4 linked regions of the Notamacropus eugenii genome follow. The main gene of each other region encodes a partner of the protein of the gene in region 4 in a complex. Links are inferred from orthologs where the notes say so. Each region holds a gene or a part of one and is shown on either strand. Other genes may lie near its edges. The genes, in order: CRIPT, SNRPF, SNRNP40 and SNIP1.

What was found.
Region 1: SNIP1 (region 4) and CRIPT share a complex: the UniProt entries of both Homo sapiens proteins name them as parts of the minor spliceosome. The link is inferred for Notamacropus eugenii from reciprocal best matches to the Homo sapiens genes SNIP1 and CRIPT.
Region 2: SNIP1 (region 4) and SNRPF share a complex: the UniProt entries of both Homo sapiens proteins name them as parts of the minor spliceosome. The link is inferred for Notamacropus eugenii from reciprocal best matches to the Homo sapiens genes SNIP1 and SNRPF.
Region 3: SNIP1 (region 4) and SNRNP40 share a complex: the UniProt entries of both Homo sapiens proteins name them as parts of the minor spliceosome. The link is inferred for Notamacropus eugenii from reciprocal best matches to the Homo sapiens genes SNIP1 and SNRNP40.

What each region holds. Positions count from the first base shown.
Region 1 is NC_092872.1:662,290,725-662,298,471, reverse strand, and holds the start of CRIPT (cysteine-rich PDZ-binding protein), read left to right. Parts: upstream 1-4,746; 5' UTR 4,747-4,799; coding exon 4,800-4,845; intron 4,846-7,747. UniProt on the Homo sapiens protein: As a component of the minor spliceosome, involved in the splicing of U12-type introns in pre-mRNAs. Involved in the cytoskeletal anchoring of DLG4 in excitatory synapses.
Region 2 is NC_092874.1:278,476,786-278,484,759, reverse strand, and holds the start of SNRPF (small nuclear ribonucleoprotein F), read right to left. Parts: upstream 3,007-7,974; 5' UTR 2,790-3,006; coding exon 2,787-2,789; intron 1,314-2,786; coding exon 1,188-1,313; intron 1-1,187. UniProt on the Homo sapiens protein: Plays a role in pre-mRNA splicing as a core component of the spliceosomal U1, U2, U4 and U5 small nuclear ribonucleoproteins (snRNPs), the building blocks of the spliceosome.
Region 3 is NC_092876.1:72,718,424-72,725,288, reverse strand, and holds the start of SNRNP40 (U5 small nuclear ribonucleoprotein 40 kDa protein), read left to right. Parts: upstream 1-3,852; 5' UTR 3,853-4,127; coding exon 4,128-4,280; intron 4,281-6,865. UniProt on the Homo sapiens protein: Required for pre-mRNA splicing as component of the activated spliceosome. Component of the U5 small nuclear ribonucleoprotein (snRNP) complex and the U4/U6-U5 tri-snRNP complex, building blocks of the spliceosome.
Region 4 is NC_092876.1:81,740,961-81,748,068, reverse strand, and holds the start of SNIP1 (smad nuclear-interacting protein 1), read right to left. Parts: upstream 3,021-7,108; 5' UTR 2,940-3,020; coding exon 2,635-2,939; intron 582-2,634; coding exon 479-581; intron 1-478. Other genes in the region: DNALI1 (axonemal dynein light intermediate polypeptide 1), read left to right, coding at 5,336-5,416, 6,111-6,259. UniProt on the Homo sapiens protein: Required for pre-mRNA splicing as component of the spliceosome. As a component of the minor spliceosome, involved in the splicing of U12-type introns in pre-mRNAs. Down-regulates NF-kappa-B signaling by competing with RELA for CREBBP/EP300 binding.

The sequences.
Region 1 (7,747 bases), on a different chromosome or scaffold from region 4:
TCAAACAGCATTACATCTCCTGCCCACACCCTTCCATTCCACCTCTACAGCTATTCTTGACACCAGAGAGGTCAAACTCAGAATTAAAATCAGATTAAAATGTAGGGAAATGTTTAACATAATACAATACAATATAGAAAATGTGAGTTTGTGATTTTCTATGATAGCCAGGGATCTTTTTCCTTTCTGAGTTTGACATCACTTTTGGCCACTGCCTACTATTATGCCTTTGCTTTGGCTGTTCCTATCTCTGGAATGCTCTTCCTGGATTCAAGGTTACCTTCAGTTCTTAGGGCTTTGGCTTCTAAGGTTAATTTAGAATTATTCTGTCTGTATCTTGTTTTTTATTTACTTGTCTCCCTCATTAGAATGTAAGCTCCTTGAGGGGAGAGGCTGTTTTTATTTTTGCTTCTTTTTGGTATTCTTAATGTTAAGGACAGGGTCTCACACCTAAGTGCTCAATCAATGCTCAATTGAGGGGCAAATTTATTATATTACAAGTCTAGAATTGATACCTGTTTTGTGAAAAATCAAAAAAGGTCCTGTGATAGTAGTAAATATTTATTAAGTGCCTACTATATGCAAGGCACTGAGCACATCCATTTTCATTTTGGTCACGTACCACAGACAAAAGGTGCTTACTTGCAAAGGAACTGATTGAACCATTTTGGAGAGCAATTTGGAACTATGCCCAAAGGGCTATAAAAATGTGTGCACTCTTTGACCCAGCAATACCACTTCTAGGTCTGTATCCCAAAGAGATCATACAAATAGGAAAGGAACCTACATGTACAAAAATATTTACAGCAGCTCTTTTTGTGGTGGCTATGAACTGGAAATTGAGAGGATGCCCATCAATTGAGGAATGACTGAACAAGTTGTGGTATATAGATGTAATGGAATACTATTGTGCTATCAGAAATAATGAACAGGTGGACTTCAGAAAAACCTGGAAAGACTTATAGGAACTGATTCTGAGTGAGGGGAGCAGAACCAGGAGAACATTGTATACAGTTACAGCTACACTGATCAATGACTAACTTTGAAAGACTTGGCTCTTCTCAGCAATGCAAGGTTCTAAGACAACTCCAAAAGGTTCAAGATGGAAAATGCTACCCACATAAAAAGAAGTATGGAGACTGAATGCAGATCGAAACAGTATTTGCTCTTTTTTGTTTTGCTTCTTTCTTGTGGTTCATTTCGTGGCTTATAATTCCTCTTTGCAACATAACTAGTGTGAAAATGTTTTAATGTAATGTATATATACAGCCTATATCAGACTGCACGCCATCGTAGGGAGAGGGGAGAGGAAAAAGAGGGAGAAAATTGGGAACTCAAAAGCTTGTGGAATTGAATGTTTTAAACTAGTAAATAAATTTTTTTAAAAAGAGGTTAAAAAAAAAAGAAATTCATCCACCTGTAGCACTGGCCCCTGCTAGAATCAAAGCTATGCATTGTGGAACCCCTTAAAAATATAATTTCTGCCATTTCTTTTTTACCATGTCTTACCTCGACTAACACTCCAATACTACACTATCTTATTTACACCTCCTGTCAAATACTAAGTGACATTATACGGACTTTCATAGCAAAGCACTAGCCTGGTATCACCTAGAATGATTAATCATACTATTCTGAACCAAGGAACACCAACTTCGAACAAGCATTAATTAAGTACCTACATGGCAAGCACTTTGCTAAGCACTAGGAATACCAAGAAAGACAAAAACTGTCTCTGCCTTCAAGAATCCCAAGGGAGAGACAACAAACACCTAACTATGCACAAAAAATACCTATACGGGATAAACTGAAGATAATCTCAAAGAAAAAGCAACAGCATGAAGAGAGAAAGGCAAAGGCTTCTTGCAGAAAGTAGAACTTTAGTCGAGCCTCAAAGGAAGCCAGAGAATCCAAGGAGGCTCTTAGGGGGGAGAGAATTCTAGCTATGTGCCCATGCACAGAGCCAGAAAGACTGAGAGATAGATTGTCCCTAGATGCCAATCATACTTAGTTTGAGGCTAAAAAAAGCCTCTATTATTATTAAAAAATAATAATAGCTAACATTAATAGTTTGCAGAGCGCTTTACAAATTTTATCTATTCTTCTCCACAATAACTCTAGAAGGGAAATAGTTATCTCCGTTTTAGAGAGGAGAAAACAGGCCCAGGTTTAGTGACGTGCACACAGCTAACAAACGTTGAGCCCAAACGTGAATCCACGTCTTTCAGACTCCAGGTATAGCATTCCATACACTGTGCTACCTAGCTGTCTCCGATCTATTACCGTGGCTCCAGGTAAAGCCAAGCACCTGAAAGGGGACGGCGCAGACGGAGGAGCCAAGCGTCACAGGAAGAGGACTGACTACACGCAGCCAGAGGGCTTTTCGACGGCCGGCTCAGGGACCTTAGACTTAAAACTTCCCATCTTCGGTCCTCGCTCTTCTCGTCTACCGACCAGAGGGGCTGGTCTAGAGACGATCTCTTACGATCCCACAGGAGCCAGGAGAAACCAGGAAAAGTTTCTCACAAATCTCATTCCCCTCGGAAAGAGAACATTCTGCCGAAGGAAACGCGCCCCTCGCGGACCGGGTAGGCGGGCACGTCGCTTTACCTGTCCAGGGCCTCTAGTAAAAGAGGGCTGGAGGAGTGACCTCCAAGGTGAATTCTGGCTCGGGGCCCCTTCGGCGTCCCAGAGGTGGGAGGGCAGCGGAAGCAGTGAGAGGCACACCGGAGGAGAGAAGGGCAGGAAGCGGGGCCACTCCACCGCAGAGCCCGGGGCTCCGAGGAGGGACGTGGGGGGGCGGGGAAGCAGGACCTGCCGGAGCAAGGCCCAAGCGGAGAGGGGCGTGGTGACCCCCAGGCTTCTCCGTTCGATCTTACCTGAGCCTCGGGCCTGAGCAGAAGTGGGTGGGAGGTAAAGCTCCCGCCCTCTCGGCTCTCAGGTGCGACTGGTTGTCTCGCATTACGCGCAGGCGCACACACACGTGCGCACGTGAGTTCTTCCTCACTCAATGGCTGGGAAGCTCCAGCAGCCAATCGGAGAGGGAGAAAGGCCGGAAAGAGGAGACAAGCCCCGCCCTCTTTCCTCCACCAGCGCTCCAGGTGTGGGGGAGGTGAATTAGTAAGGCGGAAAGAAATCCCTTATGACCCGGAAGGAGGTTCCCGGCCGGAGGATTGTTTACATTTAGAAGAATCCCGCGCCTTTGGGAAGGTAGTTAAACCGACTTGATCCCTCTAACAGGATGGTTTGCGAGAAATGTGAGTGAGGGTACCTATCGCTCCGGGGGATGGGGATGGGGGCAGAGGAGAAAGAGGGGACAAAGATGAATGCGCGACCCCTGGCCCAAACTCCCGAGGCTCCCTGTGCTTCTCAGCCTCAGGGGGTCTGGTCCCTGCCCTGACCGCCCTCCCTTCAGCTAGTCCTCTGCCTCTCCTTTCCGACATCGCCAAAGCCTCTCCCGGTGCTTCTCGCCCATTCCCCTCCGTTTCCACCCTGTTCCCCCGCTTGAGGCCCGAGCCGATTGTCGCGTCTCAACAGGCGTCGCGTCTCTACCCTGCTCCCTAAATCCCCCCTGCTGCCCTTATCTTTGGTCACGAGCCTGCTCCCCAGGGCCCACGGCAGCAGGACCGTGTGAGCCCTGCGTGTGTGTATGTGTGTATGTATATGTACACGTTAATCAGTAGGACCCTACATTTGGTCATATCCCCAATATTGCAGAGAAGAAAACTGAGGCCCACATCGTTAATTGGTGCAAGACCCGAAAAGTGATAAGTGATAGAACAGGGATTTAAAGAAAGGTTTTCTGACTTGAAATTCACGGAGGGGGGGGAAGGGTTTCCCCTTCTCCAACTGCATAAAATCAACTGGATCCTCTATCCTCTATCCACATTCATGTTCAGTGAGTGCTATTTCCATCATAGCTTGCAGTCTCTGTAGTCCAGATTTGAACGTTCCTGAGCCCAAAAATATGCCTTTGTCATAACTAAGTTTCACCCACCCAATTCTCTCTGTCAAATCCTGCCTATCTTTCAAGGTCTAGTTTAATTCCACCCAGGTATGTAGGCCCACCATGGTCTTTACATATCTCTAATATCCAAAAGAACAGTATGATTCTAACACTCATTTGATTTTAATCACTCTTTGTAATTAATATGTGTGTGTGTATCGTTTCTTTAAGGAGATTACAAACCCCTTAAGAAGAGGGACTTGGTTTCATTTTTTATCCTCCACGTTATACCCATTGTAGGAAGGTAATCAGTCTCTCCATAAGTACTTGTAAAACATCTTCTATGTGTCAGGCAATCTGCTAAAACGTTGGGAATACAAAGAAGGGCAAAAGACTATCCTTTCTCTCAAGTAGCTCAACAGGTAAAACTGTATATAAACAAGTTATATACAGGATAAAGAGATAATCAACAGGCAGCTAGCATTCATCAGCCTTCAAGGGATCAGGAAAGGCTGGAATTTTAGGTGGATTTTTAGCCAGGACTTGGAAAGAAGCCAGAAGTCAGAAATGAGGAGGGAGAGCTTGGAGGATAGCCACTGAAAATGCACAGTCTGGAGACGGAGTGTCTTGTATGAGGAAGTGCCTGGAGGCCAGTGTCACTGAATCACAGAGTAGAGGGTGAATAAGTCAGAAGACTGAAAAGGTAGGAAGGGGCCATTTTGTGAAGAGCTTTGAATACTAAAGTATTTTATATTTGACCCTGGAGGTCATAGAAACTACTGGGGTTTATTGAATGGTAGATGAAATGGTCAGACCTGCCTTTTAGACAGATAATTTTTCAGCTGAATGGAGAATGAACTGGAGTGTGAAGAAACCAGTGGGCTATTATAGTACTCCAGGTATGAGAACCTGCGTCAGGGTGGTGGCAGTGTCAGAGAAAAGAAGAAAATATGTTTGAGCAATGTTACAAAGATGAAATCAATTGTACTTGGCAACAGATTGGGTATTGGGGGAGAGTGGAAGTGAGGAGCTTAGGACTACATCTAGGTTTGTGAGCCTGGGGAACTGAGAAGTGCCATTAATAGTAATAGGAATTAATGTAATTAATTATTTTTTAATAGTAATAGGAAAATTAGAAAGAGGGAAAGATGAATTCAGTTTTGGACATGTTCAGTTTAAGATATCTATAAGACATCCGCTTTGAGATGTCTAATAAGCAGTTGGAGATTCTAAAGTCTAAAGCATTTGGAGGTCAGGAGAGAAGTTAGTGCTGGGAAAGTAGATCTGAGAATCATTAGCATAGAAATGACGGTAATTGTATCCGGGAGATTGAGTAAGATCACCAGGTGAAAAATAGGATAGGGGAATAAGAGAAGAGGGTCCAGGACAGAGCCCAAGACAACCCATTACATTTTTGGCTATCTCCAATTTTGGGATTTTATTTTTTCCTTCCATGGAATCCAAATTTGCTTTGTTCATCAGCGTCTGAGCAGAAACTAAGGCAGCAGATAATGGGAATGATCCAAGGCCAAAGCTAACAGGCCATGATCAGCAGCGTGATCAGAGCCAGGGACTCAGTTGAAGTGGACAGTGTAGAGTTGAACTGGTTCACCAAGAGGTCACGATGAGAAAGAAAGGAGAATGCAGCTAGTGCAGGAGTGGTGGCCAGGGAAAGAACTGAAGGCTTAAGGAATTGGAGGTCACAATTTGGATGAAGAACAGGATAGAGAGAGAGGGAGAATGACAGTAGATTGTGATCAGATAAGGAAATTTCAAGAGGTCGTTACCATGGAGGTAATACATTGTCGGTGAAGGCAAGGGCAAGGTTATGGCTTCTTTGTGTATGGCTGAGGTGGGGTGGTGGAATAGGTCATATAAAATGAGTAAATTAAATGAGTTGGGTTTATTTTTCAGATCTGTGCGTAAGAGAGGTAATATTTTATTTTTTTCCAATTCCATTTAAAGATAGTTTGCAACATTCATTTTTTTAATAAGATTTTAAGTTCCAGATTTTTCCCCTCTCTCCCCATGACAGTAAACAATCTGGTATGGGTTATACATTGTACAATCATGCTAAACATATTTCCATATTAGACATGTTGTAAAAGAAGAATCCATACAAAAGGGGAAAACCGCAAGAAAGAAAAACAAAAATAAGTGAAAATAGTAAATGCTTCAATCTGCATTCAGACTCCATAGTTCTTTCTCTGGATATAGATAACATTTTCCTTCATCAATCTTTTGGAATTGTCTTGGATCATTGTATTGATGAGAAGAGCTAAGCTAGTCATAGTTGATCATCACACAATGTTGCTGTTACTGTATGCAATGTTCTCCTGGCTCTGCTCACTTGACTTAGCATCAGTTTATGTAAGTCTTTCCAGGTTTTTGTGAAATCTGTTTTCTCATCATTTCTTATAGCACAATCCATTACATTCATAGTCAGCCAATTGATGGACATCTCCTCAATTTCTAATTCTTTGTAACCACAAAAAGAGCTGCAATAAATATTTTTGTAAATGTAAGTCCTTTTCCCTTTTTTATGATCTCTTTAGGATATAGATCTCATAGTGGTAATTGCTTTATCAAAGGGTATTCACAGTTTTATAGCCCTTTGGGCATAGAGGAACTGTGAATTTAAGGTGTTTAAGAGAGTATCAGTGTGTATGTTGAAGTCCTAGTATGAGGGAAAGAGTTGGGGAGGAGAGAACAATTGTGATCTTATTGTGAACTCATTGAGGAAAGAGGGGGAGTGTACTGGAGGCAGAAAGTTAACAGCTATTCAGCAATACCACTTCTAGGTCTGTATTCCAAAGATATCGTGAAAATAAGAAAAGGACCCTCATATACAAAAATATTTATAGCAGCTCCTTTTATGGTGGCAAAGAGTTGGAAACTGAGAGAAATGCCCATCAGTTGGGGAATGGCTGAACAAGTTGTGGTATATGAATGTAATGGAATACTGTTGTGCTGTAAGAAGAGATGAGCAGGCAGACTTCAGAATCCACATTGCGGCTTTCACAGACTTAGCTCTTCTCACCAATGCAAGGATCTAAGACAGCTTCATAAGACTCATGATGGAAAATGCTGCTCATATCTAAAGAAAGAACTATGGAGTACAAATGCAGATTGAAACATACTGTCTGCTCTTTTTTGTTGTTGTTTTGTTTGGCTTCTTTCTTGTGTTTCTCCCATTGGTTCTAATTCTTCTTTACGATATGACTAATGTGAAATTTTCACTAATATGAAAATAGGTTTAATATGAATGTATATAAAGATTGCATGCCATCTTGGAGAGTGAGGAGGGAGGGAAGGGGAGAAAATTTAAAACTCAGAATTTTATGGAAGTAAATATTGAAAAATAAAAATAAAAATTTTTTTGAAGTTAAAAAAAGAAGGATAACAGCTACTAGAATTTTTATTGGGTGGTGGAAAGGGATTCAGTGAATGTTAAAGGAAGAGAGACTACTGCATAGTGATGGTAGCAGGAAAACTTGAAATTGGCACTCTGAAGCAAGGAATATTCAACTTCCCCATCTCAGTGTGGGGAGGGGGAAAGAGGGGGGGAAATGGAGGAAATGGGTGAAAGTGGAAAGGTAGGCTGTAGTCAGAGGGATCCAGTTCTCAATAAGAGCCAGAACATGGAAGAAGTGGGAAAGACAAAGATTTAAGATGAAAGCAGGTTTGTTACCTATGGAGCAGGCATTCCAGACAACACAATGGAAGGGGTAGGTAGCATTAGAGTGAGACACTGGGGGCTTTTCGTGGAGGAGAATAGTACTAATTTATCAGTACCAGATG
Region 2 (7,974 bases), on a different chromosome or scaffold from region 4:
GAAAAACAGCCTAACATTTGCTTTTTTATTATTTCTAAACCCACCAGTAAAATCCTACTCTGATGTCTCATGACATGGCTCTACAAAGTTATGAGTAGAATGCACATGCTGGCAGGTCCTACCGAGGTGGAAGTGACCTTTGTGACAGCAGCTGGAGCACAAGCCTCACCTAATTCAAAGAGGCTCATCTTCTGAAGGATGGAGACCAAGTGATAACTATGTAATGTAGATATCGAGGAGGGGGTAGGGAGCTTATGATGAAGCCTATGGATGGGGCTTTTCTCAGAAAAAATATTTTTAAATGCAGAAAATAAATTTTTCCTCAAAGAAAATTTAATCAAAGATAGATTTATTCTATCTCATTTAAGAAAAACATACTTTCTTAAAAAGCTAATTTCAATTGTTTTACTAAAATAATACTCTGAAGAAATGGTTATAAGTCCATCTCCAGTTACATTCTTCAGTATTACATCAACACATTTATTTAAACTGCAAAGCACACAAAGCACGGTTAAATTCTCTACAATACATTCAAATTCTGAATTCCAGTTTTCCTGACAATAATCTTTTATTTTCCTCTTAAGAAGTAAAGTCTTTTAACATTATTAGTTGCTTGTCTATTTAAAAACAAATGCTAAATGATTGTGAATCAAGGACCATTTAGATCACCGAAAATCCTAAGTATTAAGTAATCAATCCAAAGGGCAGTGAGAGGGCATATAGAGTGACTTTACTACCAACATACCTGGCAAATGTTATACCACAAGCTGGCTCCTCTCAATTGTGGTTGTTCATTCCTTTCAGTTGTGTCTGACTCTTCCATGACCCCATTTGGGGTTTTCTTAGCAAAGATACTGGAGTGGTTTGCCATTTCCTCCTCCACTTCATTTTGCAGATGAGGAAACTTGAGGCAAATAGGGTTAAATGACTTTCCCAGGGTCACACAACTAGTAAGTGTCTGAGACTGAATTTGAACTTGGGTCTTCCTGGCTCCTGGCTTCACTCCACTGCACCACCTAGTTGCCCTCTTTACTTCAAGTAAATTAAGACTCCGAAGCCTGAAGCTTAGGAGAGGAATTAAGGTATCAATTATTAAAAGGACATGACTTTTCACTGAAATCCTGGACAAGGCTCCAAGTCTCAGAAAGCAAGTAAAGTGAGGCCCACCCCACTCGAGTTTAGCTTACCTGCATGTTCATGTAGCCATCCACAGACACCAGGTAACCTTTATACTCCATTCCCCACTTAAGCTTCACCATCACTGGCTTCCCTGTCAGTCCATTCAGGAATGGTTTGGGGTTGAGGGGTAAACTCTGTACAGAGATGAGGTGATAAAGGCAAGACATTAGTCAAGATGGAGCTTTCACAGGATCTCAAGTAAGGGAAGGAACATGAGGGTTCATTTAGTCCAATATTCTTACTTGACAGAGAAGCCCAGAGCCCACTCCTCGTACTTTCCTAAATCACCCTATATTACATTCAGCCTTTCCTAGTACCCAAACTATTGAGTCCTGCTATGGTTAACCTCTTTCATTTTTGATTCACAGAGATGGGATGAAATAGATAAATTCACATTCGTTTATTCAACAGTTCCAGATTCCTCCTTCTCTACCAAGCCCCCAGAATGGGAGTTAGAAGCTTTAGAAAGAGTAAAGTCCACCCCTCCTCCTTCTAAAAGGAGGAAATCAAAGCCCAGGTGGCACGTTTGAGGGGAAGCACTGTCTTTGGCCTCTTTGTATCCCCAGTGCTTGGCACCGGCACCTGGTCTGGAGCTGGCACTTAAACGCTGGCCCAAGTGCCCCCAGCTAACACTGGGACGGAGCAGGGACTTGAACCCTGCATCTCTAAGGCCAAAGCTATTTCTCCTACACTATGATAACCAACAGTCACCTCCCCACCACAAGGCACTGCTGGAAGCCACTGGTGAAGGAAAACTCAGATACGTTTACTTTTTTTGGGGGAAGGGAAATAATAAAATATAATAATCATTATACGTATATAAAATAATTATGTATATAAAATACGATAATTATAATAAAATATAATAAGATGGCCAAACTACAGAAAAAAGAGGAAAAAGGTGCCTTTTTTTGGCAGGTGAGGGAAACTGAGGCTCAGGAGCTATAAGAGGATAACTCGGAGTTTAAAGGGGGCACAAATTGGAGCCAGGAGCTGACCAGAGTGATTCCCTGATCTTCGATTATTATTATTAAATATAACAGCAGTGAACCTGTATCACAGACGGCCTCTGAGGCCCCTTCTGGATCCCAACCTGTGCCTAGGGCTGTGTTTCTGGGGCCTCAGTTTCCCCGGCTGTAAAGGGGTTGGCCCATCCGACCAGGGAAGTTTGCCCAAGGCCTCAGTTTCCCGGGCTGTAAAGTGAGGAGGTGGGCCCAGACGGCCGCAGCCCCGCGGCTCCAAGCTCTCTCCCCCTGGCTTAAGTTCTAGGAGTCCACGGAAAGTTCCCTTCTGGCCCCGCCTCCTTTCCCCCCGCCCCCCTTTAAATGGCCCCTTCCAGGAGGCTTTAAAGCGCAGGACTCGGGCGAAACCAACTGGGGTCGAGGGGGAATGTAGGAGGGAAAAATAGCAGGCTCGCGAGCCGCTCCTCTCGCGAGACCGGAGGTGGGGGGGGACAGGGAAGAAAGGGACGAGCCAGGCCGCTCCCGCCCCCCACAGCAAATGAATGGGCAAGGCGGGAAGCGAGAACCCGTGCGGACGCTCTTCACGCCGCTACCAGGCCGCCACGGCTCCCGCCGCTGCCGCCGCCGCTGCCGCCGCCCCCTTACCATCGTCACCACCGAAGAGCGCCACGGGCCGTCCGCCGCCGCCGGTTCTCCTGCGCCCACGTGAAGCGAGCCACCGCCGCCCCTACCTCCGCCTCCCTCTAGCCGGCAAGCGTACGGAAGGCAGGGAAATGGCCGCCAGCCGGGAAGGTGAACTTTCACCCCTCACCCCGGCTTCCTTGTCATAGCTCTCCTCCCCCGCTCTCCTCCTCCCGGGCCTCTCGGATTGGACGGAAGCAGGTGGGTGGGGCTTGGAGGCGGGGCGGGGCGGAGCCGAGCAGGAGAGGCTCGTGCCGGGGTTGCTCAGTGCGCATGCGGACTCCTCCCGCGCCTGCGCCGCACGCGTCCAACAGTCGGAGATTTTAAAAAACCTTTTTCCCCAAAGTGCCTCAGTTATTTCTTTGCCCTTGAGCGTGTTCTTGTTCCCTAATCCTGACCGGACGCTGCCTCTGCTGACGGGACAGTGCGCCAGAAGCGGCCTCCCCGGAGGAGGGGGGTGGCGGCTGTAGGTATCGCGACCCCGGGGCCTCGTTCGCCTCCCCCGGGGGCCTGGCTTCGCTCCTTCCGTCTCCGCGAGGTTGTAGGGTGCCCCTCGGGAGCACGGGACGCGTGGCCGGGAAGGCCCTGCTCGGCCGGGGCAAGTCGCCTCGGGTCCCGGAGCCTCATTTCCTAATCTCAAATATATATATATACGTATATCTACACATGTGTATACATGTGTGTATATGTGTATATATGTATGTATATGTGTATACAATGTGTATACAAGTATGTACATGTGTATACATGTATGTATATGTGTATACATGTGTGTACATGCGTGTATATGTATGTATATGTGTATACACTGTGTGTACATGTATGTACATGTGTATGTATGTATATGTGTATACATGTGTGTACATGCGTATATATGTATGTATATGTGTATACACTGTGTGTACATGTATGTACATGTGTATATATGTATGTATATGTGTATACATGTGCGTACATGCGTATATATGTGTGTACACTGTGTGTACATGTATGTACATGCGTATACATGTATGTATATGTGTATACATGTGTGTACATGCGTATATATGTATGTATATGTGTACACACTGTGTGTACATGTATGTACATGTGTATATAATGTATGTATATGTGTATACATGTGTGTACATGCGTATATATGTGTGTACACTGTGTGTACATGTATGTACATGTGTATATATGTATGTATATGTGTATACATGTGTGTACATGCGTATATATGTGTGTACACTGTGTGTACATGTATGTACATGTGTGTATATGTATGTATATGTGTATACATGTGTGTACATGCGTGTATATGTGTATACACTGTGTGTACATGTATGTACATGTGTATATATGTATGTATATGTGTATACATGTGTGCACATGTGTATATATGTATGTATATGTGTATACATGCGTATATATGTGTACACTGTGTGTACATGTATGTACATGTGTATATATGTATGTATATGTGTGTACATGCGTATATATGTATGTATATGTGTATACACTGTGTGTACATGTATGTACATGCGTATATATGTATGTATATGTGTATACACTGTGTGTACATGTATGTACATGTGTATATATGTATGTATATGTGTATACATGCGTGTACATGCGTGTATATGCATGTATATGTGTGCACACTGTGTGTACATGTATGTACATGTGTATGTATGTATATGTGTATACATGTGTGTACATGCGTATATATGTATGTATATGTGTATACACTGTGTGTACATGTATGTACATGTGTATATATGTATGTATATGTGTATACATGTGCGTACATGCGTATATATGTGTGTACACTGTGTGTACATGTATGTACATGCGTATACATGTATGTATATGTGTATACATGTGTGTACATGCATATATATGTATGTATATGTGTACACACTGTGTGTACATGTATGTACATGTGTATATAATGTATGTATATGTGTATACATGTGTGTACATGCGTATATATGTATGTGTATGTGTATACACTGTGTGTACATGTATGTACATGTGTATATATGTATATGTGTATACATGTGTGTACATGCGTATATATGTGTGTACACTGTGTGTACATGTATGTACATGTGTATATATGTATGTATATGTGTATACATGTGTGTACATGCGTATATATGTGTATATGTGTATACACTGTGTGTACATGTATGTACATGCGTATATATGTATGTATATGTGTATACACTGTGTGTACATGTATGTACATGCGTATATATGTATGTATATGTGTATACACTGTGTGTACATGTATGTACATGTGTATATATGTATGTATATGTGCATACATGCGTGTACATGCGTGTATATGCATGTATATGTGTGCACACTGTGTGTACATGTATGTACATGCGTATATATGTATGTATATGTGTATACACTGTGTGTACATGTATGTACATGTGTATATATGTATGTATATGTGTATACATGCGTGTACATGCGTGTATATGCATGTATATGTGTGCACACTGTGTGTACATGTATGTACATGTGTATATATGTATGTATATGTGTGTACATGCGTATATATGTATGTATATATGTATACACTGTGTGTACATGTATGTACATGTGTATATATGTATGTATATGTGTGTACATGTGTATATGTGTATGTATATGTGTATACATGTGTGTACATGCGTATATATGTATGTATATGTGTATACAATGCGTATACATGTATGTACATGTGTATATATGTATGTATATGTGTATACACTGTGTATACATGTATGTACATGTGTATATATGTATGTATATGTGTATACATGTGTGTACATGTGTATATATGTATGTATATGTGTATACTCTGTGTATACATGTATGTACATGTGTGTATATGTATGTGTATGTGTACATGTGTATATATGTATGTATATGTGTATACAATGTGTATACATGTATGTACATGTGTATATATGTATGTACATGTGTATATATGTATGTGTATGCGTATGTGTACATGTGTATATATGTATGTATGTGTGTATACAATGTGTATACATGTATGTACATGTGTATATATGTATGTATATGTGTGTACATGTGTATATGTGTATGTATATGTGTATACAATGTGTATACATGTATGTACATGTGTATATGTATGTATATGTGTATACATGTGTGTATATGTGTATATATGTATGTATATGTGTATACAATGTGTATACATGTATGTACATGTGTATATATGTATGTATATGTGTATGCACGTGTGTATATGTGTATATATGTATGTGTGTATACATGTGTATACATGTATGTATATGTGTATATATGCGTGTATATGTGTGTATACATGTGTATATGTGTGTATATACACGTATATACATGGGAGGTTGGGGCCCGGAGGACACGGCCGAATGTAAATCGAGGCTCCCATCCTGCTGCCCCTTCGTCGGTGATTGGAGAAGCATAGCTTGGAGGAGAATCTAGACCAGCCTGCCCTTCGCTGTCATGTTTCCAAATACGTAATTGCAGTATATCTATGTCGGATAGTATGTTGGGAATATTATTTGGCTTGATTATGTTGAAATATAATTTATTGAATTGTAAACCCAAATTAGTGAATTCTCACAACAACCCTCCAAAACATTATTTTCCCCGTTTTACAGAGGAGAAAATTGAGGCAAACAGGTTAAGTGACTTGCGTAGTAAGCGTCTGAGGCTGGGTGAGGCCTAGCTTGTCATCCTACCTCACCACTTAACCCTTCCTTAAGCTCCCTATTACATCCAGGAGCGGATCTCCTTGAAATTAAAACTTAAGCTTTGATAGCTTAAAACTGCAAAACAGACATTTGGAATATTCTGTATAATCTGTGGCGTTTTAGGCTCTTAGTAGTCTGACCGCCCCTAACTCTTTTACTTCAGTCCGTATGCTGTACAATGATACTTGATAGATGGAGTCAGCAGAGCAGGCATTCCTTAAGCACATGCTATGTGGCAGGTGCTTGGGCTAGGCAAAAAGCAGTTCCTCTTATCAAGGATCTGACAGCCTAGTAGGGCAGACAACATAAAAACAACTGTACAAAGATGGATGTGGAATACGTTGGATATCATCAACAGAGAGAAGACACTAGTATTAAGGAGGATAGGGAAAGGTTTCTTGAAAATAGGTGGGATTTTAGCAGGGAATTGAAGGAAGTTGGGGAAGCCAAGAGTTGGAGAAGAAGGTAGGATGAATTCCAGGCATGGGGAGGGGGGGAGCAGGTGGGAGCAAACAGTGGAATTGCTTGAGACAGGTGGAGTGTCATGGGGATCTAATTTGTAGAAAGGAGTAAGGTGTAAGAAGACTGGAAAGGTAGGAATGGGGCAAAGCAAAACAAGGTTTTCAGTGTGATCCACTAACTATCCTTCATGCCTTGAATGCTTTCTGTCTCTAATTCCATCTCTTAAAATCCCTAGGGGATTTTACCATCTCCCCCTTACCCATCTAAGATTACCCTTCATTTACTCTATAACTTATATATATATATATATATATATATACATGTTTTATATGGATGTTGTTCCTCCCCCACCATTCAAAATATACAGAGATTTTTTTTTCCACCTTAGTTTGTACCCCCAGTGCTTGACACAGTTAACACTAGAATTCTTATCAATTGATTTTACAGTTGAGGAAACAGGCCCAGGGAAAGGAATTGTCTTGCCCAGGTTCATACAGGTAATAAATGGGAAAGCCAAGATTTGCACTTAGATATTATGACTACAAATCCAAGAATCTTCACTACTCCATATTCAGTTAATTCAGGTCAACAATTATCAAGTGCCTCCTCTTTGTTAGGGATTGCTAGACCTTGAGCATACAAAGACAAAATAAAACTCAGAAGCTGACTGTTGAATGTACAACAGTTTGATTAGGGAGAGAGAATACTAACACCTAGGGGAATTAGGAAAGGCTGGCTGATTTTTTTATATTGACATAAATCTTTTTTTATTTTTATTTTTAAACATTCAATTCCACAACTTTTGAGTTTTAAATTTTTTCTCCCTCCTCTCCCATTTCCTCTCCCCATGACAGTGTGCAATCTGATATAGGTTCTACACGTACATTCATATGAAACATTTTCACAGTCATATTGTAAAGAATTATAACCAATGGAATGAATCACAAAAA
Region 3 (6,865 bases), about 9.0 Mb from region 4:
GAGCACCAGTGCAGGAGTCAGGAGGACATGAGTTCAAATCTCACCTCACACACTTGACACTTAGAAGCTGTGTGACATTGGGCAAGTCACCTAACCCCAACTGCCTCATCCTGGGTCATCTCCAGTCATTCTGATGAATATCTGGTCACTGAATTCAGATGGCTCAGGAGGAGAAGTAAGGCTGGTGACCTGCACAGCCCTCCCTCCCTCAAAACAAAGTCAAGTGCAAGTCATGTCATTATTTCTCTGATGGTATGGTCTTCTTCGACAGTGAAGGACGAACACACATTTGTCCCACATAGTAAATGTGAGGACCCAATGATAAAATGGACAGAAAAAGTTCTTTGGAAACTTTCCAGCATAATATCAATGTTCTCCTCCCCACCCCCAGCTCATACAAGGCTGAGCACAGAACAAACTCATGAGAGTAAGGCTTCAACACTTTAAGGAGTGGTGGTTTTTACAACTCCTATGTGAATTAGCTACCTTTGATGAATTGCTCTACCTTAAAAAGATCATCACCTAGAGGCCAGCCTCCTCTTAATGAGCTGCTAAAGTACACAGTACACCCACAGTGAAAATCTGAAGCCTCCCCAGCTTGCTATACCCTGGGTCAGAACTTTGGCCATGTTGCTGGTGTTAGAACCTCAGAATTACAAGGAAACACCAGAAGAAGACGGAGTGCAATAACAATTACTCTTGTACAACTCTACAATTTATGCAGCTCTTTACAGCTTGAGAGGCAGAGTAGTCAGTGTGTGTCCTTACTAGCTGTCTGACCCTGGGGATGCCATTCACCTCTGTCTGCCTCACCTTCCTCACCTGTAAAGTGAGTACCCAAAATAGTGATCTTACAGAGTTGTTGTGACTAAAGTGTCACAGAAACATGATTTTCTGCTTTGATAAAAGTACCTTCCTATGAGAGGCAGCTTTAATGAGCTAAACCAGAAGTGGGGAATCACCCAAGTTCAAATTCCACCTTGAACATTTATTAGCTATGTGACATGGCACACTGGGGAAAAAAAATAGCCTCAGGAGTCAAAAGCACTGGATTCAAATTCCAGCTACAAAATGACTACGTGACATTGGACAAATCACTTGACTTCTCTGAGACTCAATTTTCCTCATCTGTAAAAAGAAAGTCTTGGACTTAAAGCCATTTTAAGGTAAGGCCTAAATCTATACTAGCATAAATGCATACATATAACCTATACACATGGTAAACAGGCAAGAGACGGAAGGCACTAGGGATTGGCGAAGGCTCCCTGTTCACAGTTGGATTTTACCCAGGACTTGAAGGAAGATGGGGATGCCAGGGGGCAAAGGTGAGGAGAGAAAGCAATCCAGATATGGTAGATGGCCAGAAAAATCAATCAATTAATGAGTAAATATTTATTAAGTGCCTACTATGTGCCAGGTAGTATGCTAAGCATTAGGGATACCAGAAAACGCAAAAGACAGTCTCTGCCTACTATCAGTGGAGTTTCCATATGGAGAGACACCCACACCAATAGAATCACAGGGCAGCTGCAAAAGCCTTGTCTCAATTGTCAGAGTTCTCTTATTTTACTATAGGGGGAGCAGGGTACAAGATGTACATAGATCAATAAATATAGAGTAATTGGGAACTGGGAAGATTGGGGAAGATCTCATGGAGGAGGTGATTCCTGAGCTGGACCTTGAAGGAATCTAAGGTTACTGAGAGGCAAAGATAGAGAGGAAGGGTATTCATTCTAGGGGAGCAGGATAGTTTGTACAAAGGGGGCAGAGGGCAGGGATGGAAGGGCACATTGGGAAACTTCCAGGAGTCCAGTTTGGTTGCAGGGGGAGAGGGGAAGAAACTGCAAGAAGAAACTTGAGGCTGCATGTGGCCCTCTAGGTCCTCAAGTGCGGCCCTTTGACTGCCAAACTTGACAGAACTAATCTCATTAATAAAAGGATTTGTTCAGTAAAACCTGGACTCAGCCAAAAGGTGGCACCAGAGGACCTAGAAGTCGATGTGGTCTCGAGGCCCACAGGTTCCCCACCCCTGAGTTAGAACATAAATTTCCAGAATGAGGGGAAAGGGAGCATAATTGTATATAGTTGTTTGCATGCTGTCTCCTCATTTGGATTGTTTTGCAGCAATTTGGATTTCTTAAGGGCAGGGACTGTCTTTTGCATCTTCTTGTATCTCTAGTGCTTAGCATAGTACCTGGAACATAGTAGGTGCTTAATAAATGTTTACCGATTGACTGATTTCTCTAGCTGCCTACCATGTCTGGAATGCTTTCTCTCTCCTCATCTCTCTTCTGGCTTCCCCTTCTTCCTTCAAGTCCCGGGTAAAATCCAGCTGTGTACAGGAAGTCTTCCCCAATCCCTAATGCCTTTCCATCTCTTGATTATTTTTTATTTATTTTGCATATTAGGTTATTTGTATATATTTACTTGAAGGTTGTCTCCCTCATTAGATTGTGAGCTCATGAGGGCAGCGATTTTCTTTTGCCTTTTTCTGAATTCACAATGATTAGCCCAGTGCCTGGTATATAGTAGATACTTAATAAATGCTTATCAAATGAATGACTGTCTGCCCCCCAAAAAACCAAATGTATTGAAATAAAAGTTGCCAGACTATTAAAAACAAAAAACAAGTTCATGGAATAGAGGGATGAATTGGGGTGGGTTGAGAGGTGAAGCAGGCAGACCTTCCAGCCCCTATTGCAATAGTCCAGGGATATGGCAGTGATAGGGGCCAGAAGGGGCATATCCCACATATGCTGCAAAGATGGGAGGGGTAAGAGTTAGTGAGCAGTTCAGGATGATTGTTAGGACGGTGCTGTCTTCCTCTACAGTAAAAGAGGGATGGTGTGTGAAGGGAGGGAGCTTTAGGGAGAAGACAACGAGTTCAATCTACTCACTAGTTGTGTGACTCTCGACTTGACCTCTGTCTACCTCAGTTTCCTCAACTGTCAAATTCCCCTGCACAGCTGTGAAGACCCAATGAAATAACACTTGTAACGGGCATGGCACAGTGCCTGGCGCTCAATAAATACTTCCTTCTTTCCTCCCTTTCTTCCTTTATAAGTTTGCGTATTTTCTTTTGTGCATTTAAGAAGACGATTCAGCGGAGTCCCCAGACTGACTGTCAAAGTGGTCCAGCACACAAACAAGGTCCGGAATCCTTCCATTCGAGAGGCAATAGGGCTGGACGATTATTTTAGAGTGTGACAGGCGTACTCGGGGTCCAACCTGTGCTCTGGAAATGTCACTTTTGCAGCTGGGTGGAGGATGGACTGGGGGGGGGGGGGGTCTTGGGACAGAGCAACTGTAATATAGGAGAGGGAGCCCGGGGTTCTGTCCACTGAACCTCGCAGGTATCCTCTTCTCCAAAGCAGGAGAATGGAAGCTCCTCACTGACAGGGACTGGAATTCTCAGAGCCCGGCACACAGCAGGCGCTTAATAAATGCTTGTTGCCTGACTGTGGTCCTCAACAGAGAGCATCACAAGTCTCCTACGGCGGGGAAGATGGCAAGCCAGTCTAATCAGAGAGGGCAAACACAGAGTCCTGGGCTCGAGATCCCCGCCCGCCCGCCAGCCCACAGGCCCGGAGAGGCCCCCAAGACGGCCCACCACACTCACTCACTCAGCAGCCTCCAAGGTACAGGATCTAAGAGGATGCCGCCATGAAGCGCTCGGAGCGCAGCCAATCGTAGGCCTCCGTTCCCCACAGCCAATCCGTTAGCCACCGCCCATCAGCCACCGCGCGTTCAGGAAACCTTCCCACCGAACGCAATGACCAATCGGAGACTGATTCTCGCGGTGACAGCCCGTCTTCTGACCCAATAAGAAGAAGCAAGGAAAGTTAACAAAAGAGTCTGCACAGGAAGTTTGTTCGTGTCCCTCCCTCACACATAGCAGCCAATCACAGTCCTATATTTTTCTTGAAGGCCTCGCCCTCTATCCAATAAGAAGGGATGAGAAGGAATGAATTACTCTACCCTTGCTCTAGAACACACACAGGAAATTGATTGGTCCGGCCTAGGACGGAAGTTCCTGGGTGGGCGGGGACAATCTTAGCCAATGGGAGCCGGGCCGTAAACCCCGGCGCGGCCTGTGGACTGAGCAGCGCGGACGGCTTGAGGCGGCCATGATCGAGCAGCACAAGCGGAAGGGTCCGGAGCTGCCGCTCGTTCCCCTCAAGCGGCCCCGTCATGAACTACTGTTGGGAGCGGCGGGGCCGGGGACCGGGGCCGGGCCTGCTGCGGGGCAGCAGCCTCCGCCGGGGGCCCTGCTACAAGCGGTATGTGACCTAGCGAGCTAACGAGTCCTGTCAGCTCCCGTCTCCCCTTCGCCCCCTCGTCTTCCTGCTCCTCCGCTCCCCTCTTCCTCTTCCCTTTCCTTCCCCCTCTCCGTCCCCCTCCTCATCCTTCTCGGACTGTCAGGGACCTCGGAGAGACCTTCAGAGAGCCCAGCCTCCTCACCTTAAAGAGAGGGAGGGAAACTGAGGCTGGGGGAGGTTCTGGACTCAGACTTTTTCTGAGCCCGACCCTCCCTTTACAGATCGTGAACGCGGGTCCCAAAGAGGTCCTAGACCTAGGGTGACGGTCCCGCACCCCCTTCGGGGGACATCTTTCCGAGGCTGCCCATCTCAAACCCTCAGCTCTCAAAGCTGGGACAGTTATCAAAGTTAGGATTTGTGTTGTCGTTGTATTGAGATGAAATTTGTAATATCTTTCCAATTGATTCTGCTTGGGGGTGGGGAGGAACAAGCATTAAAAATCGTTTCTGTGTGATAGCCCCTTCGCTATTTGAAAGCCTCCACTGGCTTCTTCTCTCTTGCTACTAAGGAAAACTGGAAAAAAAATCCCCAAATCGTGCTTCTTGGGTCCGCTGCGATATATGCTACGTGACCTCAGTTGGCCTGCAGTGCTAGGAGACGATCCTTTTATACCTCCCTAAATGACTCACCATCCCACTTTCCCTGGGGGCTCTTCAAAATCTTTTCATCCTTTCTTAAATTTCTCTTGGTATCCCTTCCCCAGTTCTCTCGGCTAAATGGCTTCTTATTTTGCGGAAAAAGCTAAGAGTATTCTCTCTGAGCTCTCTCTTTTCCCCTCCTCGTTTCCTGTCACTCATATCTATCTCTTCCTTCATCCCTGGCTCACGTAGTGAAGTGGCCCTTTTCCTTGCCTCCTCCTGCACCTGTGATCCCATTCTGTCCTGTCTCCTCCAGGTGGTTGCTCCTTCCATCCTTACCTCTCACGATCTTCAACCTCTTTCTCTTTATTGTCTGCTTTCTTGCTGACTGCAAACATGCTCTCCCATCCTCAAAAAACCCTCACTTGATCCTTTCTAGCTGTTCTTCTCTGTCTTTTCTCCTGTTTTGAAAAGGCTGTCTACAATAGGTGCTTCTACTTCTTTCCTCTCACTTTAACTCTCTAGTCTGTTTTCAGAACTCATCACTCAACCGAAACCTCTCTCTCCAATTACTAATGATCTTTCAGTTACCAAATTCAGTGATTGCCTTTTCTCAGTCCTCATCCTTCCTGCCCTCTCTTCAACCCTTGATACTGTCAATCACGCTCTTCTCTTTTGTACTCTCTTCTCTCTTGGTTTTTGGAACAGCACTCTCTCCTACTTCTTTTCTACCTTCTCTCCCAGTTCTCCTCCTCCCTTCTGACTGCTCTATCTCAGTCTCCTTTCCTGCATTCTCTTCCAGGTCATGCTCACTATCTGGGAGTGTCCCATAGGATTTTTGTCTTTGACCTTCTTCACTTTCCCCCTTTACACAGTTCACTTAGTGATCTCATTAGCTTCTGTGGATTTATTTATCATTTCTTTGCTGGCAGTTTTCAGATCTACCTATTCTGCCCTTATCTCTGCTGAGCTCCAACTGTCAGGTCTCTTGTAATATCTCTCACATGTACCCATTTCTCTCCTCTGATATTGCTAATACACTGGTACAGGTCTCCATCATCTCAAGACTGGACTATTGCAATAATCTCCAGATCGGTCTTCCTGTCTCTCCCCACTCCAGTCCATTGCAGCTAAAGTGGTCTTCCTGAAGTGCAGGCCTCACCATAACATCTCCATTTAGTAAACTACAATGGCTCCCTATTATCCTGAGGATTGAATAAAATCCTGTTTCAAATTCAAAGCCTTCATAACCTAGCACTGCATGCCTCTCCGCCCCATTCCCTTTCTAGTTTTCTTATGTTTTGTACAACCCTCCAGTGACACTGGCCTCCTGACTCTTCCTCAAACAAGAACATTTCCTGACCTTGGGCATTTTCACTGCTTGTTCTCCCCATGCCTGGAATGCTCCCCCTCCTGAGCTCTACCTTATGGCTTTAAGTCTCAGCTAGAATCCCAACTTCTACAGAAAGCCTTTCCCAACCTCCCTCAATTCTAGGGCTTTCCTTCTGTTGATTATGTCCTACTTATCCTGTACAAAGCTTGTTTGTAGATAACTTTTTGCTTGTGGTCTCCCTCATTAAAGTGGGATTTCCTTGAAAGCAGGGACTATCTTTTATCTTTGAATCCCCTTCAATTATCACAGTGCCCAGCACCTAGTAGGCACTTAATAAGTGTTTATTGACTGACTGAAAAAGATCTTATAATCATAAATTTTAGCGATTAAAAGGACCTTAGACGCTTTCTGGTCCAGTCCTGTAATTTTTAAAGGGACAAGCTGAGGTCCAGAGTGTGGAATTGTGAGTATGAAGGAACCAGGCCTCAACCCTCAGTACTACCTTGTTGTCTATGGACAAAAGGAGACAGAATTGTGCTGGGTGCTTAATGTTTGTACGACCCTTTTAACTTACGGGCATATGATTTAGAGCTAGGAAGAACCTGAGATATGGCCCAGGCCACCTCTTCAGTTTC
Region 4 (7,108 bases):
TTTGATAGGTTTTTTTTAAAGTTACCTTCTGAAAGCCTCAAAGACTAACAGTAATAAGCTGTTCATGAAATGAGAGGTGCATTTAAGAATTAGATGACAGAGAGTTACAGCATGTAGACAGTGGCTCCACTCAGGGAAAGATACAACCAGCTGCCCAAAGATAATTTATTCTCCAAGAAGTAGAACCAACAGCACATCATGGAATACCTGCCATGGAATACAAGCAATGGCCAGGGTCTCCCAACTCTTGCTCTGAACCTTAAAGATGATAGTATATGTATTTATGTTCTAAGCTCTTCAAGTAACTAGTTCTTTTAGTGAAAACCAGTCTATATCCTGCCCTTTTCTGTCCATAAAAGTAATGCTGTAACCTTGGGGCTCACTTCCCAATTGAAGAAGAAAGTCCATATTCTAACACTAGTAGGAAGAAATTCTTAGATCAGAACTTAGGGGAATGAGTTGTGTCAATTGCAATTACCTGCTTCACCTTGACTACAGAATGGTGAGGGCTACGGCTTCTCTTACTCCGAGGAGATCTGCTTCTTCTCCCAAAGGACTTGTTTTTCCTTTTGGTTGGTGATCTTTAGAAAACACAACACACATAGGAATTGGTGGATAAGCTTTGAACCTCTACCCCAATTTCCCTCACACAAAGAAAAAAGTTTTTGACATCTCCTGCCTAATCTGCTATGAGTTATCATAGGTTTGTTGAAGACTAAAACTTTGCAAGCATTGGTAAATGGACACAAGGAAAAAAGGTCTACACACGGTAGCAAAAGCTGTCTTCAGATTAGGAGATCCAAATTATTGTCTTAGATCTGCCATTTAGTGTATGATCAGAATAATTCACATTTCTACAGCAGTATACATTTTATAAAATTGTCTCTGTGGCAGCCCCATGAACCAAATAGTATGATTATCCCCACTTGGCAGATAAAACTGAAGCTCAAAAGGGCTTAGACAATGCTGGTCCGGCCTAGAAGAGTCACAGAATGCTGGAGCCAGGACTCTGAACAAAGATATTCTTATCCTAAACTCAGTGCTTTTCCCACTATATTACACTGCTTCTCCAAAAAAATGGTGGGATAGAGGCAAGATAGCAATCACATAGGGCAATGAAATTAATTCTCAAACCCCTATGATTTCATGGTGCAGAAGATACTTTGCAATTAGCAAGTCCTTGAACTCTCAATTTCCTCATCTATAAAATTAAGTTAGACTAAATACCTGGACTATGACTTGTCTGCAACTTCCTCTCTTTCCTTCAAGGTCCAACTCAGATGCCACCTCTTCATTAAGACCCTCCCTCATCACTATCAACCTGATCCCCTCATGTACCGTGTCTTATTTCTTTATAGCTTCATCTTCACTTAACTGAAATGAATGGTCCCTTCAGGATTTAACTAGATCTCAACTCAAGGAAGAGTTTACTGGTAACCTTTACCTCACGCCATCCCCTCAGCCTCATTACTCTGCTTTACTGAAATCTCCAATGCTTCCCTCAGGGGTGAACGTGGCCCTGAGTTTTTGAAGGCTATACTGAAAGTATTTAGTTGGAAGGGATTCAAGTTCAGCATTGGTGATAAGACTGTGTGTCTGATGCTTGAAGACCAGTCTAGATAAATTTGAAGAGGTTCATTACCAGAAGGCTGGCCAAGTGACTGACCACAACGATTCATAAAAACCACCTATTAAATTGTGGAGGAACGCTTCAACTTGTATTAAAAGAAGAGGTACGCATACCAAGGAAACCACAGAATCTTAACAAAACACTGGGGTGAAGGCTGTAGGTTAGTAGTGAAAGGGCTGTAAAGATGAAAACCAGTGGTATAAAATCTTGGGGGTAAAGGTAAGAATAACAACAGCAGATTACAGTTATACTGTACAGTCTACGAATTCCTATCCTCACAACAACCCTAAACGCTGAATTAAATCCAACAATGTCCAGTTCTGTATTCTGAGACCAAAAAATAATGGGAGCGAACAGTTATAAGTCATCACTCACATCCAGAGAGTCCTTTACGAACGTCATCTCCACTGACCCACAAAATAACTCTAACAATTAACGTGGCAGCTAGGTGTCCAAGTGGGGAGAAGGCCCGTTGGACTCATCTGGGAGTTCAGCTCCGGCCTCGGACACTTCCTAGTGGTGTCCTCATCGGCAGAGTTGGAGAAGGAAAAGGAAAACCCCTCCAGCGTCTCCGCCAAGGAAGTCACGAAGCTTCCAACGCAACTGAGCGACAAAAACAGAACCGATGCAAGCACTCGGATTTTTATTTTACAAATGCGAAAACCGAGAGCCAGAAAAAGAATTCGCCTCAGCCAAGGCTAGTAAATGGCGGGGCGAGGATTAGAACCCAGGTCCCTACAACACCACAGCTACCAGACGGGCAGCAGGGGCGCAGGAAGGGTCCTACAAAGGACCCGAGTGTGTGCGCAGCTGGGAAAGGGGCTAAGGGAAGACTTGCTACAAGAGGCAGGACTGGCTGGGGGCTCGACGAGGAAGAGCCTCTGGGGATCACGAAGCAGAGTCAGCAGGGGGCTGGGCCCTATCCCCCACCCCCACCCCCGCGGCGGGAGGCACCGCCGCCACCACCCAGCGTCCCTCCGGGGGACGGGGCGCTGGGCTCGTACCTGCTGCAGCTGCCGGCGCGGTCGCCGGAGGCACGAGCGCCGCGGGCTCGCGGGGCCGGGGGCGGCAGCGGCGCCTCCTCGTCCGGCGCCGGGCTCGGACTTCCCGAGGAGCCGCGCCGGGCCCGGGCCCGTGGCCGGTGCGAGCGGGACGCGGGGGTCGGGCTGCGCCGCTCCTGCTTCACCAGCGACAGATCCGGCACCAGCACGTCGTCCCCCGCCGCTGCCGCCGGCTCGTCCTCGGCCTCCGGCCGCCGCCGGCGCCGCCTCCGCTGCCTCCGCTCCCGCTCGGGCTTCGCCTCCTTCATCCTCGCGGCCCGGGCCAGTGGGCTCCTCAGCGACGGCCCGAGCGCGTACCCCGCGCTTCCGTTTCCGGGGCAGCTTCGATTCTTCTTCCGGCAGCCAAACGGAAGTCGGGCCGCTGGCGGTCACGTTGTGATCGCACCCCCTGGCGGGCGCTGCTGAAAATCGCGCTCTCGAAAGAGGCGAGAGAAGTCTGGGGAAGCCTCACCCCCAAAACAACCACCCATCCAACAAAAAGTTCCGTTGGCCTGTCCCCGCCCCCTCCTCTCCCTCACCACGCCCACTCGACCTCTCCCCGGGGCTGCAACAGCCGCGATTGATGCGGACCCCCCAAAGACCCTCGTCGGACCCTCCCCAGGCGGGCGCTGTCACCGCCCCACGTTCCACAGGAGGAAACGGGCTGGCAAAGGTGACGGCCCGTAAGGTCGGAGGACGGATTCCGGGTCACAGCTCACGGTCGCGCGGCTCCGAGCGGAGGAGTCAGGATTCGAACCCACGTGCCCTTGTTCAGAGTGGCGCCCCCGTATTGCTGGGGAAAGGGAGGCGACGGCGTCAGAATAGAGGCCGAGGAGACAGGGAGCGAGCAGGGTCGGGGTCTGCCCCCTACAGAGCGCGCTCAGAGGACCAAGGCTTTTATTTGCCTTTCTTTAGGCCGGTGTGCACCGGGGCCTGCTTCTGCTACTGGTGCTCAGTGAACACCAGGGAGGAGAGAGGAGAGGAGGGAGGAAGGAGGCTTGGGCACCACGGAGTCCCACCCGTGACCGGGGCCTCGCACCCTCAGGGGCGGTCAGTCCTCTGACCTCCGGTCTTTTAGACTGTCCTGCCTGGAGCCGCGAAACAAGCCGTGCCTGCTTCCTAGGACGTCCAGGGTAAAGCTCCCTTCTCTCCCCGGAGGGACCTTTGTCTTCACTTGCCAGCATCCACCCTGTCAGGGTTCGTCCTTCGTTTTGGAAGAAGACCATGACATCAGAGAAATCCACCCGAGGGTCTCTCCGTGGGAACTTTGGCTGCACCACAAATGACAAGAAATGGCAGCGCTTCTGTCAGTGGTAAACGAGAAGCAGGCTGCAGGGGGAAGGCATGGAGGGAGGGCACAGGCTCCCGTGGGTGAGGCGTGGCCCCGGACTCGTTCCTTTATTGCCCGAGCACTTATTAAGCGCTGACTGGGGGCTGAGTCCTGCGAAGTTCAGTGCTGAAGGAAGATGAAGAGCTCTGGTGGTCATAAGGGGAGAAGCAGCCAGGTGGAATAAAGGGCCAGCCTTTGTTTGGGTCGGGAAGATGGAATGTCACACATAACGGAGGTAGGACGCTGGGCAAGTCCTCTCAGTGCCCCAGGCAGCTCTCGAAGTCTGCAGAAGTTGCGGAAGGGTTGTCTGTCTGAACCATTGGAATATATGGTTTTATGTGTGTGTGTGTATGTGAAATAAATGAAATTTCATGTCAAATTAAACTCCAAAAGAGCAACAGAAAAAAAAACCAGTTTTCATTTGTAAATGAATAAGAAGTGACTTGTCCAGGGTGGACCAGCAAGTGTCTTAGGCAAATTTCAAACCCAGGTCTCTGTCCCCTGCCTTGGCCTCCAACAGGACAGGAGAAGATACTTAGAGAGGTTCTTAATTTGTGTGTGTGTGTGTGTGTAGGACTCCTTTAACAAAGTAAAGTCTATGTTTTAAAGTATTAATAGTGCATTTATATGGCATTTTAAGGTTAACAAATTTGTTTTACAAGTATCTCATTTGCTCTTCACCACCATCCTGGGAGGTAATTAATATCCCCATTTTACAGATGAAGAAACTGAGGCCAGACAAGTCACATGGCTTGTCCAAGATCACACAGCCAGTAAGCGTCAGAGACGGATTGGAACTCAAGTCTTTCTAACTCTATGCATCGTACCACCAGCCACCTGAAATGAAACACACAGGCGTATAAAGAAAAGCAATTATACTGAAATGCAGTTATCAAAATGTTCAATAAACAAGTTCACAGACCCAGAGTTAAGAATGCCTGCCGAATAACGTAAAGGAGACTGTGGTAATTGAGAGCTCTCACTTCTATAGCACTCGTAAATTCTACAGGGTACTTTTCTTAGAAGCATCCTCTGTGCCCCAGAATCACCTGCCCACGGCCACACAGCTAACCAAGTGACAGAAATGAAGTTCCATCTGATGGCTCCTGGGGAGGGCCTAGGCCAGCATTCTTTTCAGCAGACCTGAGCTAAGACCTTAGAGCTGGTGGGGCGCCAGCCAATCCCACAGCTCTCCGATGGCCACGCCCCACTGCTAGCTCCGCCTCCACCACTAGGTTCAAGCTGCTGGGCTCGAGTGGTAGGGACAGGGGGTGGGGCCTCGGTTTCCATGGTGACAGTAAACAAGGCTGCGGAGCCACTGCTGCAGCAGCCACCATGATTCCTCCAGTTGATTCTCTGCTCAAGTATGATACCCCGGTGTTAGTGAGCCGGAACACAGAGAAGCGGAGCCCCAAGGTAGAATCCAGGGCCTGGAAATGGGGACTGCAGGGAGGGAGGGCGGGAGGAGAAGTGATGAGAGTGTGGAAGGGAACAGGGAAAGAAAGAGGAAGATGAAAGTGGAAGGAGAGAGGAGAGGGAGAGTGAAAGAAATAATGGGAGGAGTGAAAAGGAGGTGAAAGTAGAAAGAGTAAAACAGGAGGAGAGAAAGGATGGGAGAAGCAAGAAGAGGAATGGGAAGGAGAAAGGAAGATGTGGTTGGGAGGAGTGAGGGAAGGGAAGAAGATTAAGAGGAAAAAAGACAGTGGGAGAAGCAAAGAGAGGAAAGGTACTATAGGAGGGAGGAGCAAAGAGGAAGGAAGAGAATGTGGGAGGGATGGAAGAGGAAAAAATGAAAAGGAAGTAAGGAGGGTGGGAGAAAATTGGACAAAAGGAGGGACCACAGACATGGATATAGACAAAGGAAAAAAGATGATGGTAGGATGAGGAGAGAGGAAGGAAAGAAAAGGTGAGGGTAGATGCATGGGAGAGGGAAGGAGGAGAAGAGGGATATCATGAGAAGAGATAGCAGAGGAAGATAGGAGGGTAGAAAGGGAGAAATAAAGTGGGAAGAAGGAAATGAAAGGATACAGGAAAAGAACTAGGGCCATGGCTGCCCCAAGGCCAGTTCTGAGGACCAGCTCACTGAACTTCTCTGTCACCTCTTTTCTAGGCCCGTCCCCTGAAGGTCAGCCCACAGCAGCCATTGGCTACAGGGCCAGTTCCACAGCCACCCAAGAGCAAGGCTATCCCTTCTACTTCTGCTGCCTCAGACCCCACCAAGCAGGCTGAAGAGATCCTGAACTCCATCTTGCCTCCCAGGTAAAAAGATCAAGGGATAATCAACAAGCTGGAAAGTCTTGGGATGGACTGGCTTGGCCAAGTTAGCAAAGGCTTATCCTGTGTTTAGCTGCAAGACAATGAGATTTTTGGTCATAGCAACTCTACTAAGATGTCAAGGGAATAGCCACACTCATGAAATAATTAACCCTTGAAGTATTGATATTGGTTCCTTGTGGTCAGACCAGCCAACAGTCCTAGAGAGAGTCCCACAGTCTCTTCTTCTCCCCCTCCCCCCAGGTCCCAGGATCTTGGTGCTGTGAGGGACCTTAGAGGTCACTAGTCCCCTTCCCCTTCCCTGTCATATTTTATAGATGAGGAAACAGAGCCAGGTTGTGAGTTGGAGTGCCTGGTTTCAACCCTAGATCTTTTGACTCTAGAGACCAGTGCTATATGATACAAACAGATAGGAACCAGCTTTATACTCACAGAAGGGTGAAGAGTGGGGAGAGGCACAGGAATTCTAAGTCCCAAAGATACTAGGATCTTTTTTTCCTCTCCAAGGTCACTTAGCTCTAGAACCCAAGGGTCTGAGTCTCCTCACACCAGGGTCCTCTATAATCCATCTATGATCCCAATAGATTCCTCATTGCAGGCTGGAAGGGACCTTAAATATTATTTAATCCTACTACTAACATAGAACTTGAGTCCAGAGACTAGTCTAAGATTCATTAGCCTTAGCACACAAGGGTCACCATGTAGGTCAGGATCCTTCATGTGCCTAATGTGTCATCTTTTTATCCTGGCTGTTATCCTGATGGAATCATAGAATACAAGAACTGGAAGGGACTGCAAAACCATCCAACTTTAACCATTTCATTTTTACATATG